Macaca mulatta: one gene and its partner. The protein of the gene in region 2 binds, or shares a complex with, the protein of the main gene of each other region. Links are inferred from orthologs where the notes say so. Each region holds a gene or a part of one and is shown on either strand. Other genes may lie near its edges.

Region 1 (4,610 bases), on a different chromosome or scaffold from region 2:
GGGGAAAGAGGTTAAGTCCCAACACAAACACTCGTTTTCGTATTATAAAGACATTTATTTAATCTATGAAAATAATGTACAATAAATACTTTCCCCTTTTCCTATTATTAAAGAATTTTAATAAATTATCTACAGTCTAAAACATAAAAAAGAGGAAAATAAGTCCCTCTAGTTATTTTTAAGAAAGTCCCCCTAGAGTTTAATTATTCCTGAGATTTCATTGGAAGGAGTCTACCAAACGGAATTTTTCTGTGTGAATTTTAAAAGATGCCCGAGTGCCCAATATTTTAGAAGAAAAAAGGGAGTGGATTAAACGCTAATTCAGTAATACCTGAATTTTAGGAAAACACATAAGTCTATGCGACTGGGGGTAGGAGAGGCTCGATTTTTCCAGTAGATGACCAAGGAGCGCGGGGGTGGAAAGGACCGGGAGGAGGAAACGGGTTAGGGAAACTGCAGGTCGATGGCACAGAGCGTGCTGGTGAAGAAGTCCAGCTCTTCCTCGGAAAAGGGGACGGGGCTGTCGAGAGAACCCTGCAGGCTAGGGGAGAGGCCTCCGGATAGCTGGAGACAGGAGTCGGCCGCGAAGAAGTTAAGGTCGGGAAGGAAAGGCGAATCCTGGCGCTCCGGGAAGACATCTTCTGGCAATGGTCCCGGCTCCGGCCCGCCCGCCCCGCGCAGCGCGCAGCCAGGGCTCGGCGCGCCCGCGCCCTCTAAGCCACCGGCTAAATGTCGGGGGTCCGCGGCGCTTAAGGCCCCCGGCACCACCTCCGGCGGGTGAGAGCAGGCTTCCCACGCCGCCCGCGAGGCGGAGGGGCCGCCCGGGCTGACCGCGGGCTCCTTGACAGGGTCGCCGGTGTCCTCCAGGGCGCCCGGGCAGGCAGGCTCCCCATCCGGCGGCTCTTGGTGCTGCGTCTGCCGCTTGTGCTTCATGCGCCGGTTCTGGAACCAGACTTTGACCTGCCTTTCGGTGAGATCCAGCAAGGCTGCGATCTCGACGCGGCGTGGCCGGCACAGGTACTTATTAAAGTGGAATTCCTTCTCCAGTTCCAGCAGCTGTGTGTTGGTGTAAGCCGTGCGCAGCCTGCGCGCCCCGCCGCCACCAGCCTCCGGCAGTCCCAGGCCATCTGCAGGGAAAACAAGCTGGGCGTCAAAGCGGGCAGTGTACTCAGCCCAACCTTAGTTCGGACTAACCCATCCGCCAAAACCAGTATCACCTCTCCCCTTCCTCGCCACCCCACCCCCGCCCCCACCCCACAGCGGCTCGCTTTCACTGCTTTTGGGTTTTCTTCTCTCCCTCCCTAGTCGACAGCCCCGGCCCAGGTCACGGCAAAGCATTCAGAGCCGCCCACGGGCCACGCAGGGGGCGGAGAGCCGCTCCCTTTGGCGCCGAAACCTCAGATCCCCCCTCCCAAGCCCTCCCAGTGGACCCCTCAATTCGGAACTTTCCAACTCAACCGGAGCGAGGGTCATAAAGATTGTTCTTCACCCCTCTTCCTCCCTAGCTCTCAATTCTTCCTCTTCTCCTAGAGTTGGGGCAGAAAGGACCGAATCTTTTTCTGCTTCTAGAGTCTATCCCAGCAACAACATATTCATTCCCCTACACAGATACGGATGAAAACCTCAATCAAATCATTTTCTTCTAGCAGAAAAAAGGCGTTTCCCCAACCAGCTTTCAAAATCAGCTGTAGGGAGAGAGAGAGAGAGAGAGAGAGAGAGAGAGAGAGAGGAAAAAAAAAAAAAAAAAAGACGCTGGCAGAGGCCAGGCTTGTCCCCCAGTGGGATATTCTTCTTCCCCATGCCGGGAATGGACGGGGTAAGGAACCCCAACAGGCTTGCCACCTTTTTTTTTTTTAACCTCCTTCCACTGCTTTTTCTCCCCCTCTTGTAGGGTGCCCCTCACCCCACCCCCACCAGGCTTACCGACCTGCAGGCGATCCGACCCCGGAGGCCGGGACAGCGGAGGCGGCCGGGGAAGGAGACGTGGCGGATTGGCTGGGTTTCTTGGCGGATTTCTTCTCTTTCATCCAAGGGAACTCGGGGGCCGGGGGGGCAGCGGGGAGCAGCGGCGGTGGCGGCGGCAGAGCAGGCCCATCTTCGGCTCGCTTTTGGCTCCTGGGTCTCTGAAGGGTGGAGGCGCCGGGCTGGAGGCTGGGGAAGGTTTGCTCGAAAGGAGGAGGAGGAGGAATTAATGTCGACTCCTTGATTGATGAAGTTTGAAATGTCTCCAAGACAGCGGGGAAGGAAGTCAGACACTCGGCGAGCGATGGCTGGCTGTTTATAAACCCAATCTCCCTCTCAAATTCAAAATTCATGGCTTTCAATGGTGGGGGAGGGGGCTGCTGGGGGGGGCGTCAGGAGGGAGGATCGGAAGGGACCCCCCCTCCTGCCCCCCCCAGATTTATGTAATGGAGCGATTTTGGGAGGGGGAGATTTCGGTCTCTCTCTCTTTTTTTTTTTTTTTTTAAATTTTGGGCCTTTATATTTGTATATTGCTGATAAATACAAGCGTATGGGGACTCTCTCTATTAAACCCAGGACTCCGGCGAAATTACAGGGAATTCGTGGTCACGGGACCGGTCTCCGCCAATCGCTCGTCTGGGCCTGGTGGAAAACAGAGAGCATTATTTGCTTTAATTGATTCAAAAACACCAGAGGACCATGACCTGGACACCATGAGCCCCCATTCCTACACCAGTGCCTCACACGCTCTCTCCCCAGTGCCTCCCTTTCTCCAGAAAAGCTAGAGAAACCACTTCCTCATCCCTTTCGGAGGTTAGAAGGTTTCAGAAGCTTGGAAAAGAAGAGACTCTAAGGGAGAAACCTTCCTCTTTTCCAAATGTTTTAATAGAGTAAATTAAGGCTTTCCTTTCGTGGCTTACGTGGCCAGCAGCATCGTCTTCCCTTCTCCCCTTCCCCAAGAAAAGATGAGTGAGGATCCCTGCGTTGGAGGAAGAGGGAGTCGAAAGAGGCTTCCACTCTTTGAAAAAGGTCAGTGTTAAGGTGCAAATAAGAAAGAGATTTATAATCATCAGCACCACTATCCCCATGTTAACCCTCCAAAAGCAACAGTTAAATCTTGGGAAATGGACAGGAACTCCCAGGCGGACACATAAGAGTGAGATGGAGCATGAGGGGCATTTTTGGGCCTCTGGCCTCCATCGCTGTGTGGCCTGGGTTCTCGTCTCTGCCCAGTGTTTGCAGCACTGCCTCTTCCCCTTATGTCCCCCTGCTTTCCTCACTTTCAGGCATCCATGCTTCTCTGTGACACCTCCCTCCCCCCGAAAACAAGCAGAGTCTAAGATGTGCATGTACCCACTCAAGCCTCAAGCTCATATCTGTATCCATATCCAGGGACATGAACAAGAACTCAGGTAGCCACTGATTTAACTTAGAGCACTCTCAAAGTTCAGATCAGCGTATGTGTGTGCATGAATGTGGTGGGGAGCTTTTCCCCTAGGACAAAGAGACTTTCCCTCCCATTTTTGCCATTGTGCTAGTTTAAAAAAAAAAAAAAAAAAAAAAAAAATCCCTGACAAGGAAGAATTCCCTGAAAATGGCGCGGGTGGAAATAATGACCACTGAGATGATATTCCATTTCTGGCTCCTGAGGGGAAATGCTTTTAAAATTTATTTTATTTTGAGGAGACCGAGATAGTCTGAAGTTTAGAGTGTTGTAATTTACTATAGAAAGAGGGCACAAGACTCTAAGCCCCAAGCAATTGGTGGGAAACTAGGCCTCAAAGCAGAAAATGAAAAGTCGATCTGGGGGAAGATTTTTAAATAAGTGGGTCAGAGGGACGGAGAGGAGATGAGGCGATCAATCTTAGCCCCCTGACAGCTCCCTCCGATTGCATCAAAGAATTTGGCTCTTTGGGAAAGCAGAGGGAACAGCCAAAATTTCACATCTCTTAAAAAGGCCTGGGGGTGGGGGTGGAGGTGGGGGTGCAAAAGAGAAAGGTGATTCTGGGAGAGCTGGGAAACAGATGGGAAATGGGGACAGAGGGAAAGCGCTAAGTTGGGTGGAAAGTTTGCCTGGAGAACTCCCACGGCTCTGGCCTCCCCTCCCCCTCCTCTCTCTCTGCAGCCCAGCCAGGAGAAGGCTGGTTAGCAGAGAAATGGCAACTGAGCCCGGAGCTGGAACTAGAAACTTTCTGTCAATGTAACATCTGCGTGGGTGGTGGTGAGTATTTAAAAAGAAGAGCAGAGAAGTCTTGAGTAGAAGCATGAGGATGGGGGAGCGGAGGATGAAGAAAGGGGAGTTGGAGGTGGGGGCTGCAGGGACCGGGGAGTCATGCTCTGGAGGGCTGAGAACAGAGAGAGCTACTCTGACCTGGGCAAAGTGGCCAGCAACAGTAGTGTGCAACTCGGCTCCAAATAAAACAATTATTGCCGTTTAGAGGTGTGGATGGGGCATAGAAGAATCCAAATAGTAAGCAGTGTCTGGAAGTCATGCAGGGAGGCCTGAGAGTGGCTTCTCCCTCTGGCCATCCCCTTGAACACCTCTGAAAGTTTAGCAACAGCTTCTCCAGCTGGCTGAAGGATCCAGAGCTTATCTTGGGCAACTCGGGCAGAGACTGTCCCTGCAGGAAATACAGCTCTCTCTAACC
Region 2 (3,811 bases):
TGTATGTCACGATGTCTTTGTGGGTTTTTAACTCAATTCAAAAAAGCATTATTGAACTGTTATGTAGAGACCTACTTTTTTTGGCCTAGTATGGAGAATTATTAGTACTTACAATATTTACTAAAATAAAGAATGCTACCAGAAACAGGAATACTTAGAGGGCTGACTTTTCATTCATTTTCAATAATTATCCCCCAACTGAATATAGGTGTCATACTAATTTTACCAGCTAATAATGAACACAGTTTCTTAAGCTATAAAGATATGGAATTAGGTAAAACCACACAACTTTAACCTGAGACATAGCCTTGTGCAACTGCCCTTTTAAAAATAGACAAACGTACAAAAAAAAAAAAAAAAAAAGATGAATCAACTGAAAACAAACACTGAATTAGAGGCTTTGTCAGGTCTCCTAACTCCCCATCTAGTTAAGGCAAGCCAAAAATAAGTCACAGCTGGGATTCTCCTAGGTATGGAAACTCTGCCAACTAGGAATTAATACTAGATTATTTCTGTACCAGAATTTTATTCTTATAATCATAATCACATAATAAACAAAGTAACTTAAATATGAAAGGAAAATGGGAGTCAGGCCAAAAAATAAGATAAATTGACAAAAGAAAGAACAGCGGTAAAACAAAAAAGTTGAAAAGGCATAATGTCCTCATTCTAATTAAAGTTATGCGGTTTTTCTTTTTTTTGTTTGTTTGTTTGTTTTGGTTTGGTTTTTTGTTTTGTTTTGTTTTAGTATACCTGGGCCAAAAATAAACACCATATATATAATGTATCATACTAGTTTCAAAACAAAGAAAAAAATTATTCTCATTCACAGTTCAATAGAATGCGTTTAGGGCTTCTCAAATATCTTTATCTTGTCACCTCTCATATACATCACTTTTTTCCCATGACCCTCTTAAACATCTTCCACGCTGATAGACAGTATCTTCACAGGAATTGGGCCAGGAAGACAAAGTTGTGCACATTAGGGGTATCAATAAGCAGGCAGTGAGGTCTCTACAAATGGGTCTGCAAACTAAGGCCTGCCAGCCACACTTACTCCATGGCCTGTTTTGTAAATAGTTTTACCGAGATACTACCATACCCGGTGCCATTCATTTATTGTCTGTGGCTGCTTTATTACTCTACAGTGTAACTGAGATTTTATGTGTTTCAAAACCTAAAATATTTACTATCTAGTCGATAACAGAATAAAGTTTGCTGATGCCTGGTCTAGACAATGAAGTTTGGAAGACAACAGCATGAGGGAGAGCACAAAGCTTACCAACATATTATGTTAATACATCATATAGTATTTTTTCAAAATGATTGCTTAGAATTAAGTGGATTATTGCTTCCAAGGTGTTAACAACGACGACGACGATGATGACAACACTGCTGTGGAACTTTAATAGGGAACATTTATATACCTAAGTTTGATATGGGCAGTAACATAACATACATGGGAAAGACGATAGGCTAGAAGCCTGGAATCCTGCCAATGGCCTTGACCGAGTCATGAAACTTTTCTTATCTACTATAGTTTAAGATTCCATTATATAAAAGCACAAGCAATGCCAGTTTAAAACATGTTTGACATTTAATTAGTCTTTCAAAGCCCCTGAATTGGGATCAATCTGCACATAGGTTTCCCTTGATTCAGAAGTGTATCATAGGAAAAGGCGTGATAAAATTGAGGCTCCACTAGGAATAGGTAATATGATCACATGGAGAGAGAGAAAAAATGTTAGTACAGAAGTAAAATAATAAACTTCAGTTATAGATGGGACAAAAGAGAGAGAAAAGGGGAGACAACACAGAACCATTTACCAAACACAACTGACCTGAGTTCTGTTAAAAGCCACACGTGCAAATACTGCCTGGGAGATTCCTGCTCGTTTCAGTTCATCGCGTACCCACTGGTAGATTTCGGAAGACACCTCTGTGTTGGTCGAAACCTGTTGCTCCAAAGGCTTATTCATAGATCTACTGACAGGGGGAGGGTGGTTCAAGTATTGTTGGTTTAAGGACTGCTGGGCTAAAAGTCTATTCACTGCATACTGCTGGTTCAGCAGCTGAGCCATCACCAGCTGCTGGTTGACCAACTGAGGACTGATAGGCGTTGATACGAGCCCAGGGTGCAGGTTTGGAAGAGGGGTCCGGACAGAGGGCTGGCTGCCATGGGAGAGCTGCGCAGGGGATGGAGGCTGCTCGGCTGTGTTCCCTGGAACTGGTTGCTGTCCAAAATTGACATGATTGGCGCCTTGCTGGGATAGCTCAGAAAGACTATCCATTTCAACTAAAGTGGACAAAAAGTAAAATCACATTTAGCCAGCAATGATTAGCATTGATAAAGATTTCTAATCACTTCCTAAATTAAAAAAGGGTAGGCACAGGGCACACCCCAAATCCAAAAAAACCAAGAAAATTTCAAGTTGCAACTTACCAGGCTGTGTTTTTTCTCTCCTTTTCTGAACAATTCTACAAACTTTGGAAGTGGGACAGCACTCCTAATCTCATTTTTAAAAAGTGGTTTAGATTTAAGGCATAAAATCAATTATATCCAAATTCTTTCCGACTAGTTGTTCACTCTCACTTATTACCCCAAGAAGGCTTATAAGCAATATTTTTTAAAAAATGGCTTCTAAAAGAATGTCATTTGCTTAATGACAACTAAAAACAGTTAGCTGAGAAAATAAACTTATAATAAGCGACTAAAAATTTTACAAATATATTCTCATGGTATTCATTAACTTTAGTACTCTAGGAAAAAGGTGTAGAAGAAAAAATATGACGTAAAATGTTACCTACTTTCAATTTTTACCTAGCAGTGAATAGAAGTAGTTAACGTAATAAACAAAAATGGGTATAATAGTAAGTGCATATTGAATGCTTGCTGAATATCATATATGCCTTGTTTCATTTTAATTCTAACCATCATGGGCAGTAGGTATATCTGGAAATACTTTTTAGAATAAAGCAAGTGATTTATTGTATATCAAGCCAGCATACCCAGTGTTGCTAAGATCCAAATGTTTTTCTTCAGGAAGCTATGGCCATCACCAGATGCTAAAGACAATCTTGCAGGGAATCGTTCTGGTACGATGGTGATGCTGTCATGATTTTGCAATTTATTCCCACCTACCCAGGATGAATGCTTCTCCCTTGGCTAGGTTCCTCATATGGATTGGCTGAGCATCATCTCTAAGTGTGTAAATGCTTTTCTGTACGAGCAGGAGACTGGTTCGATGCTCTTGGCTGGAAGGGCTGAGCATGAAGCTGTACATAAACAGGAGTTTCCAAATTGTACACAGACTTCCCATGTATAGACTCTAGTTTGATTTTAATCATCAATTCTCTTTTCATTAAATATGCAGGTTTTACATTTAGAGGAACTTTATCATAGTGCTATAGCTCCTGATATATGCAAAATATAACTAAGAATTGGGGAAGAAACCTTCAGTTTCTACCAGTGATATCAGCCCAAGTGGGCCATTCACAGAGAGTAGTAATTCAAGCAATTATTCCAAAAATGATGCATTGTCTTCATTACAGCCTTAAGCTATAAAAGGCAAAGAATCCATTTTGGTAGATGGATGGTTTTTCTTCAAATATTAAGAGCTAAAACATGCTCAAAATTTGGGTTTCTTATTGCTTAAAAAATTTTTAGAAAAAAAGTTATTAAATGAATGTAAAGAAATAAACAGAAATAGATTTAAAACAGGACATAATGCCCATTCCTGTATTATTTTAAAATATATGTTTTGGAGGGTACAAGTAGGTGAAAGAGAATATTAATAAAAATTAAAACATT

Evidence for each region.
Region 1: SATB1 (region 2) and HOXB2 share a complex: the UniProt entries of both Homo sapiens proteins name them as parts of the nuclear protein complex. The link is inferred for Macaca mulatta from reciprocal best matches to the Homo sapiens genes SATB1 and HOXB2.

Annotation. Positions count from the first base shown.
Region 1 is NC_133421.1:61,463,795-61,468,404, reverse strand, and holds HOXB2 (homeobox protein Hox-B2), read right to left. Parts: upstream 2,869-4,610; 5' UTR 2,316-2,868; coding exon 1,928-2,315; intron 1,817-1,927; exon of another isoform or gene 1,128-1,816; coding exon 445-1,127; 3' UTR 35-444; downstream 1-34. UniProt on the Homo sapiens protein: Sequence-specific transcription factor which is part of a developmental regulatory system that provides cells with specific positional identities on the anterior-posterior axis.
Region 2 is NC_133407.1:30,132,319-30,136,129, reverse strand, and holds part of SATB1 (DNA-binding protein SATB1), read right to left. Parts: intron 2,297-3,811; coding exon 1,842-2,296; intron 1-1,841. UniProt on the Homo sapiens protein: Crucial silencing factor contributing to the initiation of X inactivation mediated by Xist RNA that occurs during embryogenesis and in lymphoma.